Linked DNA regions of Danio rerio. The protein of the gene in region 1 interacts with the protein of each later gene in a pairwise test. Links are inferred from orthologs where the notes say so. Each region holds a gene or a part of one and is shown in the gene's direction. Other genes may lie near its edges. The genes, in order: hax1 and sav1.

Evidence for each region.
Region 2: the proteins of hax1 (region 1) and sav1 interact in binary tests that used the Homo sapiens proteins (3 or more experiments, as listed by UniProt). The link is inferred for Danio rerio from reciprocal best matches to the Homo sapiens genes HAX1 and SAV1.

The regions. Positions count from the first base shown.
Region 1 is NC_133194.1:8,858,193-8,862,053, forward strand, and holds the end of hax1 (HCLS1-associated protein X-1), read left to right. Parts: intron 1-650; coding exon 651-829; intron 830-907; coding exon 908-971; intron 972-1,448; coding exon 1,449-1,573; intron 1,574-1,718; coding exon 1,719-1,842; intron 1,843-2,860; coding exon 2,861-2,925; 3' UTR 2,926-3,219; downstream 3,220-3,861. UniProt on the Homo sapiens protein: Recruits the Arp2/3 complex to the cell cortex and regulates reorganization of the cortical actin cytoskeleton via its interaction with KCNC3 and the Arp2/3 complex. Slows down the rate of inactivation of KCNC3 channels. Promotes GNA13-mediated cell migration.
Region 2 is NC_133188.1:40,254,137-40,257,969, reverse strand, and holds part of sav1 (protein salvador homolog 1), read left to right. Parts: intron 1-222; coding exon 223-372; intron 373-3,693; coding exon 3,694-3,833. UniProt on the Homo sapiens protein: Regulator of STK3/MST2 and STK4/MST1 in the Hippo signaling pathway which plays a pivotal role in organ size control and tumor suppression by restricting proliferation and promoting apoptosis.

The DNA.
Region 1 (3,861 bases):
CGGACTGCTGCTTTACAACTGACCTTATTGAGTTCAAATACAGTTGAAGTCAAAATTATTCGGCCTTCTGTGAATTTTTTTTAGTATTTTTTTTAAAAAATCTTTCCCAAATGATGTTTAACAGAGCAAGGAAATTATCATAGTATTACCTATAATATTCTTTCTTCTGGTGAAAATCTTATTTATTTATTTTTCCAGCTAGAATAAAAGCAGTTTGAATTTTATTTATAGTATTTTACGGTCAATATTATTATCCCCCTTAATCAATTTTTTTTTTTTCAGTATGTCTACAGAACAAACCATCGTTATACAGTGCCTTGCCTAATTACCCTAACCTGCCTAGGTAACCTAGTTAAGCCTCTAAATGTCACTTTAAGCTGTATAGAAGGGTAGAAATATCTAGTAAAACATTGTTTACTGTCATCATGGCAAAGATAAAATAAATCAGTTATAAGAAATGAGTTATTAAAACTAATATGATTAGATATGTGTTGAAAAAAATTGTTTGAGTTAAACAGAAAAAATATAAAGGGGTCTAATTAGTCAGCCTTCAACTGTGTGTACATTCTCTAACTGATTGTGGTTCACAATTGCACTGGTTTAAGTGATGATACATTTCTAGCATCATCTGTTCTGCTTCTTCCCATCAGGTTTCCCGTCAATAGAAGCTCCACCTCCACAGGAAGGAGTTGAGAAAGGCAGGAGTGGGACAGGAAGTGGGAATCCCATCAGAGATTTCATGTTGAAGTCTCCTGACCGCTCACCTAAAGATCCAGAGCACAGAGAGGATTCTCCACCAAATCATCCTCACAGGAGGCCTTTCTCAAAGGTAAATCGAGGTCTGCCAGTGAATATCTGCAGTCTCTCCATTCCAGCGTCTCATCTTATTGGCTTTCTTTCATTTCAGTTCAACGATATTTGGAAAGATGGACTGTTAAAACCAAAGGGGGAAGACAAAAGGGAGGATGGAGGTAATGCATCTTGTGCAGGTTTTCACAACAATTATACAAGTCTGAGAGCAGATATAGTTCTCAAAACCATTCAGTAGGTTTCCATTTAATTTTTTTGTTACAGATAAAGCTGATGGATTTGCTAATTATTGATTCAATTAAGCTAATTTGACAACCTTTTTCTTTAGCGGGGGATCTCTGTATATACTAAATATTCTAGATTACCTACTTAACGAAGGATAGCGCGCTACTTAACAAAGGGTAAATGCAAATTTAATTTAATAATGGGAAAATATAACATCTAATTTATGTTTATTTATATTGTATTATAAATAGTTTTTAAATATCATAAGATGATGAATGTCACATAAAAACGTAAATTAGCAGAAATTAATTTACAAACACTCTAATTTACATAAGGTAATCATCTGAGCATTGCTGTTATCATCTTACAGATGTTCCTTCAACAAATCTTTTGTTTTCTTGTTCTTGCCTCAGATCTGGACTCACAGGTGTCTTCAGGTGGACTGGACCAGATCTTGAAAGATCCAGCACCTTCACAGCCAAAAACAAGGTCATTTTTTAAGTCTGTCAGCGTCACCAAGGTGGTCCGACCGGATGGAGTGAGTGGATCATTTTGTCTTCAATACTATTTCTAAATACAATCATTGTAGAATTATATTTCAGGCTGTAAATATGCTCTGCATTTATGCTTATAATAACGGAGAGTGTGTGTGTCTCTGTCTGTCTGTCTGTCTGTCTGTGTAGACTGTAGAAGAACGGCGAACAGTCAGAGATGGAGAAGGTAATGAAGAGACGACCGTGACCATCTCAGAAAGGCCAGGTGGGCAAGATAGGCCAGTCCTGGATCAGTCTGGTCCTTTAATGCCAGGTTAGTGGTTTAATAATCTTTTTTTCTGTAAATAAAGATTATTAAGCTATAGATTATGTTTATTGTACTTTACTTAAACTCTATCCAATGTATTTATTTAATGTATGTTTATATAAAAATTTCATAAAAACAAAAAACAAAAAATGAATAGTTATAATTAGATGTGCAATGTTTGCATACATGTTTGCATACAGTTTATTATTTGAGTGTGGATTATTAAAATTATATATATATATATATATATATATATATATATATATATACAACAGTTCTGTCTGGTTCTCAAATCTGATTGGCTGATAGCCGTGCGATATTCTGCAATATCAGAACTCCTACAGCCTCTTTACCCTTTGTGTATTACTCCGCCCACATACAGCCAGCAAAAAGCAGACACTACAGATCTAAAGTTTAAAAGATGCACGCTCAACTGTTTAACTGTCAGCTTATGATTTGAATCCAGAAGAAAGTAGTTCCTCATACAAAAGGGTTTTTGAGACTCTCCTTGTTTGATTTTGTTTTTATATACACAATTATGCTGTCAAACTGTTGTATAAACGCAATATCACACTCGTAGCAGTGTGATATGGCTGTATATCGGCAGTGGTGTGGGCACAACGCACGGCTCCCACCAGTGCCGATATACAGCCATATCGCACTGCTACTCGTGTGATATTGCTCATATATATATATATATATATAATATATATATTTAAAAATATTTATTGTAATTGTAAAAATATTGTAATTTAAAGAAAGACAGAGACACAATTTAAGTAAACTGCTACTTAATAAAAAACAAGCAATTTTATGATTAGTTTTCTCCACCGCTGTTCCCCAAAAAGCTAAGATCTCAAAACCAAGGATCTTACTAAAAGTTATCTATGCGTATCATCCCCCCTTAGCATTAATGTTAATAAAATGTCTTCACATTTACATAAAGTCTTTTGCATTTACAGTATTTGTACATTAGACATATTTATTTGTAATCATTCAGTGATGTGTTTTCTGCATCTTTCAGGTGGTTCTGACATGCAGGATGATTTCTCCATGTTTTCCAAGTTCTTCAGAGGCTTTCGAAGTTAAAAGAGTTTTGGAACCAAAACCGAAGGACAATCTCTTTCCCGGCAAACCCACCACGATCACAATATTTCATTCTTAAGTATATTTGTGGAGATCCACAACATCAACATTGATCAAATATCACACAATGAACCTCAAAACTCTGCTGACTTTTTCATTTTTTATATAATTTCCATTAAAGATATGCAAATAATTATATAGACCGAACTTTGGGTTAGTTGGGTTTTGTTCAGAAATGACACTTTAATATATTTAAACATTTTATTTCAATAGGTGTAAATAAAAAAACTAAATGAAGTCTGCCTTACGGTCTCATGAATTGTTTTCAGGAACATCTAAATGTGGAAGCTGGCATATTTTCTGTATCTGAAGAGCACTAATTTAAGCAAACAGCTCTTTTTATTGGATAAATAGAGCAAACGCAGTACATTGTATTTTTAAGTGATTCTAAATGTAAGAGAGCTGCTCGTTTTGACAGCTGCTTAGCATTCTGAGGTCAAGTCAGTAGTAGCAGCTCATCAAAATTTAGTAAAGTAAGCTAGCAACTAAAACTAAGGGAAAACAATAATTATAGGATGGATTTGGAGTTGGATTCTTGTGTTTCTCATGTATTCTTGTAAACTGACAGTCTGAAATCTGCATTCACTTATATAGTAGGTACACGGTCAACTTAAAAATGGAGGAAGAAAGATCATTTAAAGGGATAGTTCGCCAAAAAAAAAAAAATACTCACAATTTATTCACTTTCAATCTGTTCCAAACCTTTATAATTTTCTTCACAAGAGAAGATATTTTGAAGAAAGCTGAAACCACTGACTACCAAAGTAGATAAAAACAAATATCATGCAATTCAGTGGTTACAGGTTTGCTGTATTCTTTAAAATGTTTTCTTTTAAACGGGTTTTTAACTAGTGAAGAGCAAGTAAATAATAGCCCCTT
Region 2 (3,833 bases), on another chromosome or scaffold:
AAAAAAATGTTAAAGGAAATACTGTGAAAACTTCCTTGCTCTGTTAAACATAATTCGGGAAATATTTTTTAAAAAAGGGGAAAAAAAAATCACAGGAGGACAAACAATTTTGACTTGAACTGTATATGATATGTGTATGTTCATTATGATAATATATTACTGATTATCTAGACTGTTTGATGCCATTTTGTTTTTAAAATATGCCAACTCTCTTTGTTTTAGTGTGCCTCGTTATGACCAGCCCCCTCCCCCACCCGTCACCTACCAGCCCCGCCCACCAGAACGCAACCCGCCTGTACTGGTACCAGCAAACCCGTATCACTCAGCTGAGATTCCAGACTGGCTACAGGTGTACGCCAGAGCTCCACTAAAGTAAGTTTCACACTCTCACACAGATTGTCCAACATTAAAGGTCCCCTCAAGTGCCTTGAAATGCAGTTTTGTTTAGCGTGTGATGCGATTTTAACTCTAACACAATGATTCTCATTGTGGAAACTCATTTAGCGTGTGGTGGCTTTTGGTGGTGTGAGATTGCTCTTTGGGAGCACAGGGGCTTAAGAAAATTTTGGCAAGTAATAATATCAAACCACTGTGCCATGGAGAATAAGGAATGACCAAAACAACAGTTTAAATATTTAACAATGTGATAGATTGGCCCGTTAGTGCTACCCCATCATACCTATTTTTGTTTCGTGATCTGTTAATACAAAATCACAAGACTTTTTTTTTTGCTGTGTATTCTGGAATTTATTTGGCAAATGTGATTACATTGTAGTTTATCTATGGATAAGTTTATCCTACTCTTTTTTTTTTTGCGATATTCCATATGTGGATGGAAGCTTATAATAGTAATGCTGGTCTTGTCTAGGTAATTTACCTAAAAAAAAAAAAGAATAATTTAAATGACTAGTGTATATGATCCAGTTATGTTCTTGTGTCTCTGAAATCTTATTTACATTGCTTAAATTGTTCGTCCCTTGTTTAGTAGCACTATGTGCCATTTGAGATACTAAAGAGCATTTCGATTGGTCAGACAGTCTGATGAGAAGCTAAAGTGCTCTGTCATGGAAAATTGTTCGGAACTGAGAACATGCATGTTTTGAATGCTTATATCTTCTAAAAAAGATGCTGTCTTTGTTTTAAACGCATACTAGCTTATAGATGACCTTAAAACTAAAATATTAATACTAACACCCAAAAAACTCATTTCGATTTTAGATGGACTTTAATCTGACATAATGTACCATCCAGTCATTTATTGTAAAGGCCTTAGTTTTAATTTGTAGTGTTTTAGTTAGGAAGTGACATGTGATCAGTGTAGGCATGATGTAACTGTAGATTGTTTATGGTTGCTGAACAACATTGCAGCTTGTTGCATTAATATGGAATTCAGCTAACGTGTGGTAACAGGTGGGCAACTATGTATATCAGCACTTTTACTTTTTACAGCTCTACTCTTCTAGACATATTTTTAACACGGTTTATATTTAACTACAATTATATTGTTTATATACTGTTACAGAAGTGATTGTGTTAAATTAGCTTTTTCTTTTTGTCTGGTTTATTTCAATTCAATGACAATATTTTGAGTCCATTTTAGTTGACTTTCCCAGTGATGGATTGCAGCTGGAAGGGCATCTACTGCGTAAAAATGTGATGAATAAGTTGTAGGTTCGTTCCGCTGTGGCGACCCCAGATTAATAAAGGAACTAAGCTGAAAATATATTTATGAATGAATAAATGAATTTTAGTTGACAACAGTATATTTAACAGTGTTTAAGAAATAGACATGTCGATTATTTTAGTTCAATTCTAGTAATTATGTTGCTTAAATATCTGCTCTGTTCATGCCACTTTTTTCAGCTCTGGTATGTGGTGAGTTTTTTGCTGGAGGAATCTGACTACATACTTTATAAATCCCCAGTTTGCATGAATGCAAACTCAGAAGAAGGATCTGGGAAAGTGCTGAAGGAGATGTGGAGAAGACTTAGCAAACCATTTTCACATATTTTGGAGATGTCAAGTAGGGCTGGGCGATTTGGCCTAAAATCAAAAACTAGATTAAAATTTTAACTCTATTCTGATTAATGAACAATTTTTTTGTTTGATTTTATTTTATTTCATTTTTTGCCACATAATTCACTGAGAGGTTTTGTTTAGTAAATAAGCTCACATATCACAAGTGACAGATTGTTAAATGAAGAGTGCATTACTTGATTTTAAAATAATTGAAGGAAACACACATTATCTACAATCTATGATTATTTATTGAACATTAACAATAAACAACTGAATGAAAACACACATTGTCTAAAACCAAGTCACTTTTTTCCTATAAAAAGGGAAAATAAATAATGTTTGGAAACAAAATTAATCGTTTTCGATGTTTTTCATATTGTAAGTCAAAAATAAGCTGCATCTCTTCTAAATAAAATACACCTGTAGATCCTGTAAATAATATTCTAAACAGTCAATTTCTTGCATCTTCTGTAAATAAATAATTTTATTGAAATATTAATTTATTCTTATGGAAAATATGCTGTCTTAGTGCATCTCTAGCGCAGCTTCCAATCATTTTCAATGTAGTGCAAACGTGTGACTTGTAGTTAGGTAATACAAAATATTTTAGTGATGGAATGGACATCTCTTTTACAACAATTTACTTGGAAAATATACCTGTAGCAGCCAACTTTAATGATATAAGACAAGTATTTATTAAAAATACTTCTAGCGTCCAACAAGAAAACTGTAACTAGAAAGCGGCTCGAAACCTTTACAAAATTGGAATGATTTGCTATCGTATCTAATGTTCAAAGGTTCAAGGAGGCCTCAGGGAAGACCCAAGACAGGCTGGTGGGACTATGGGCGTACTCGCACTACTCGCATCGAACCAGGCTGAAGCACGCTTGTCCATCCTCCTGTCTCCCTCAACGGCCTGCACTCTCATTGCATTCGCGACTAAGCACGCTTACGTCATTGATGATGCGCTGTGAGAAGCGTTCTCGCTCAGCACGGTGGACATTTCTTTATATCGTTTTAGTCGTTTGGGATGCAGCGACCCTCAGTGAAATATTTCACTGAAGAGATCAGCCATTTTTGACGCTCATAAACAATCATAATGTCCTCAAGCTACAGGAATTAGGAGGTTTGCTGATGGTGCAGCTGTCGTGCAGTGAGGGGTTTGCGTTTTTAATAATCTACGACAGTTTGCATTCATTGAACAGTATGAATGATTAATAAACCCATATCCAACTGTCCCTTTAAAGAAACGTCTCGTCTTCAGTTTCGGGCTCAGGCGAGCCCAAGTGAATCGAACACCTCTTCCAACTGGGCCTGGTTCGGCCAACTGAACTGCGCCTGAGCCCGATTCAGAGCACTCGCACTTCTCAAACAATCCGGGAAACAGGCCTGAGCATGGTTTGGATGGCATAGTTTGAGTACGCCCTATGTCTCTCGGCTGGCCTAGGAAAAATTAAGTATATACTTTTTTTATGTAATTACATCATAAATAAAAGAAAAACCATCAAACTAAAACCTTTTTTATTAATCAAATATTATATATAATATGATAAAATATAATATAGTAATAAAATATAATATTCATTGTTTTTCATTGACTGTTTCTTGCAACCCATAAGTCTGGTAGAGTCCTGATTCATTAGTCGTGTGTATGTATGTGTTTTTCCGTCCCAGATATGACCACATCCTGAAGTGGGAGCTCTTCCAGCTGATGGATCTGGACACATATCAGGGGATGCTGAAGCTGCTCTTCATGAAGGAGCTGGAGTGCATCGTCAAATCTTATGAAGCATATCGACAAGCGCTGCTGACCG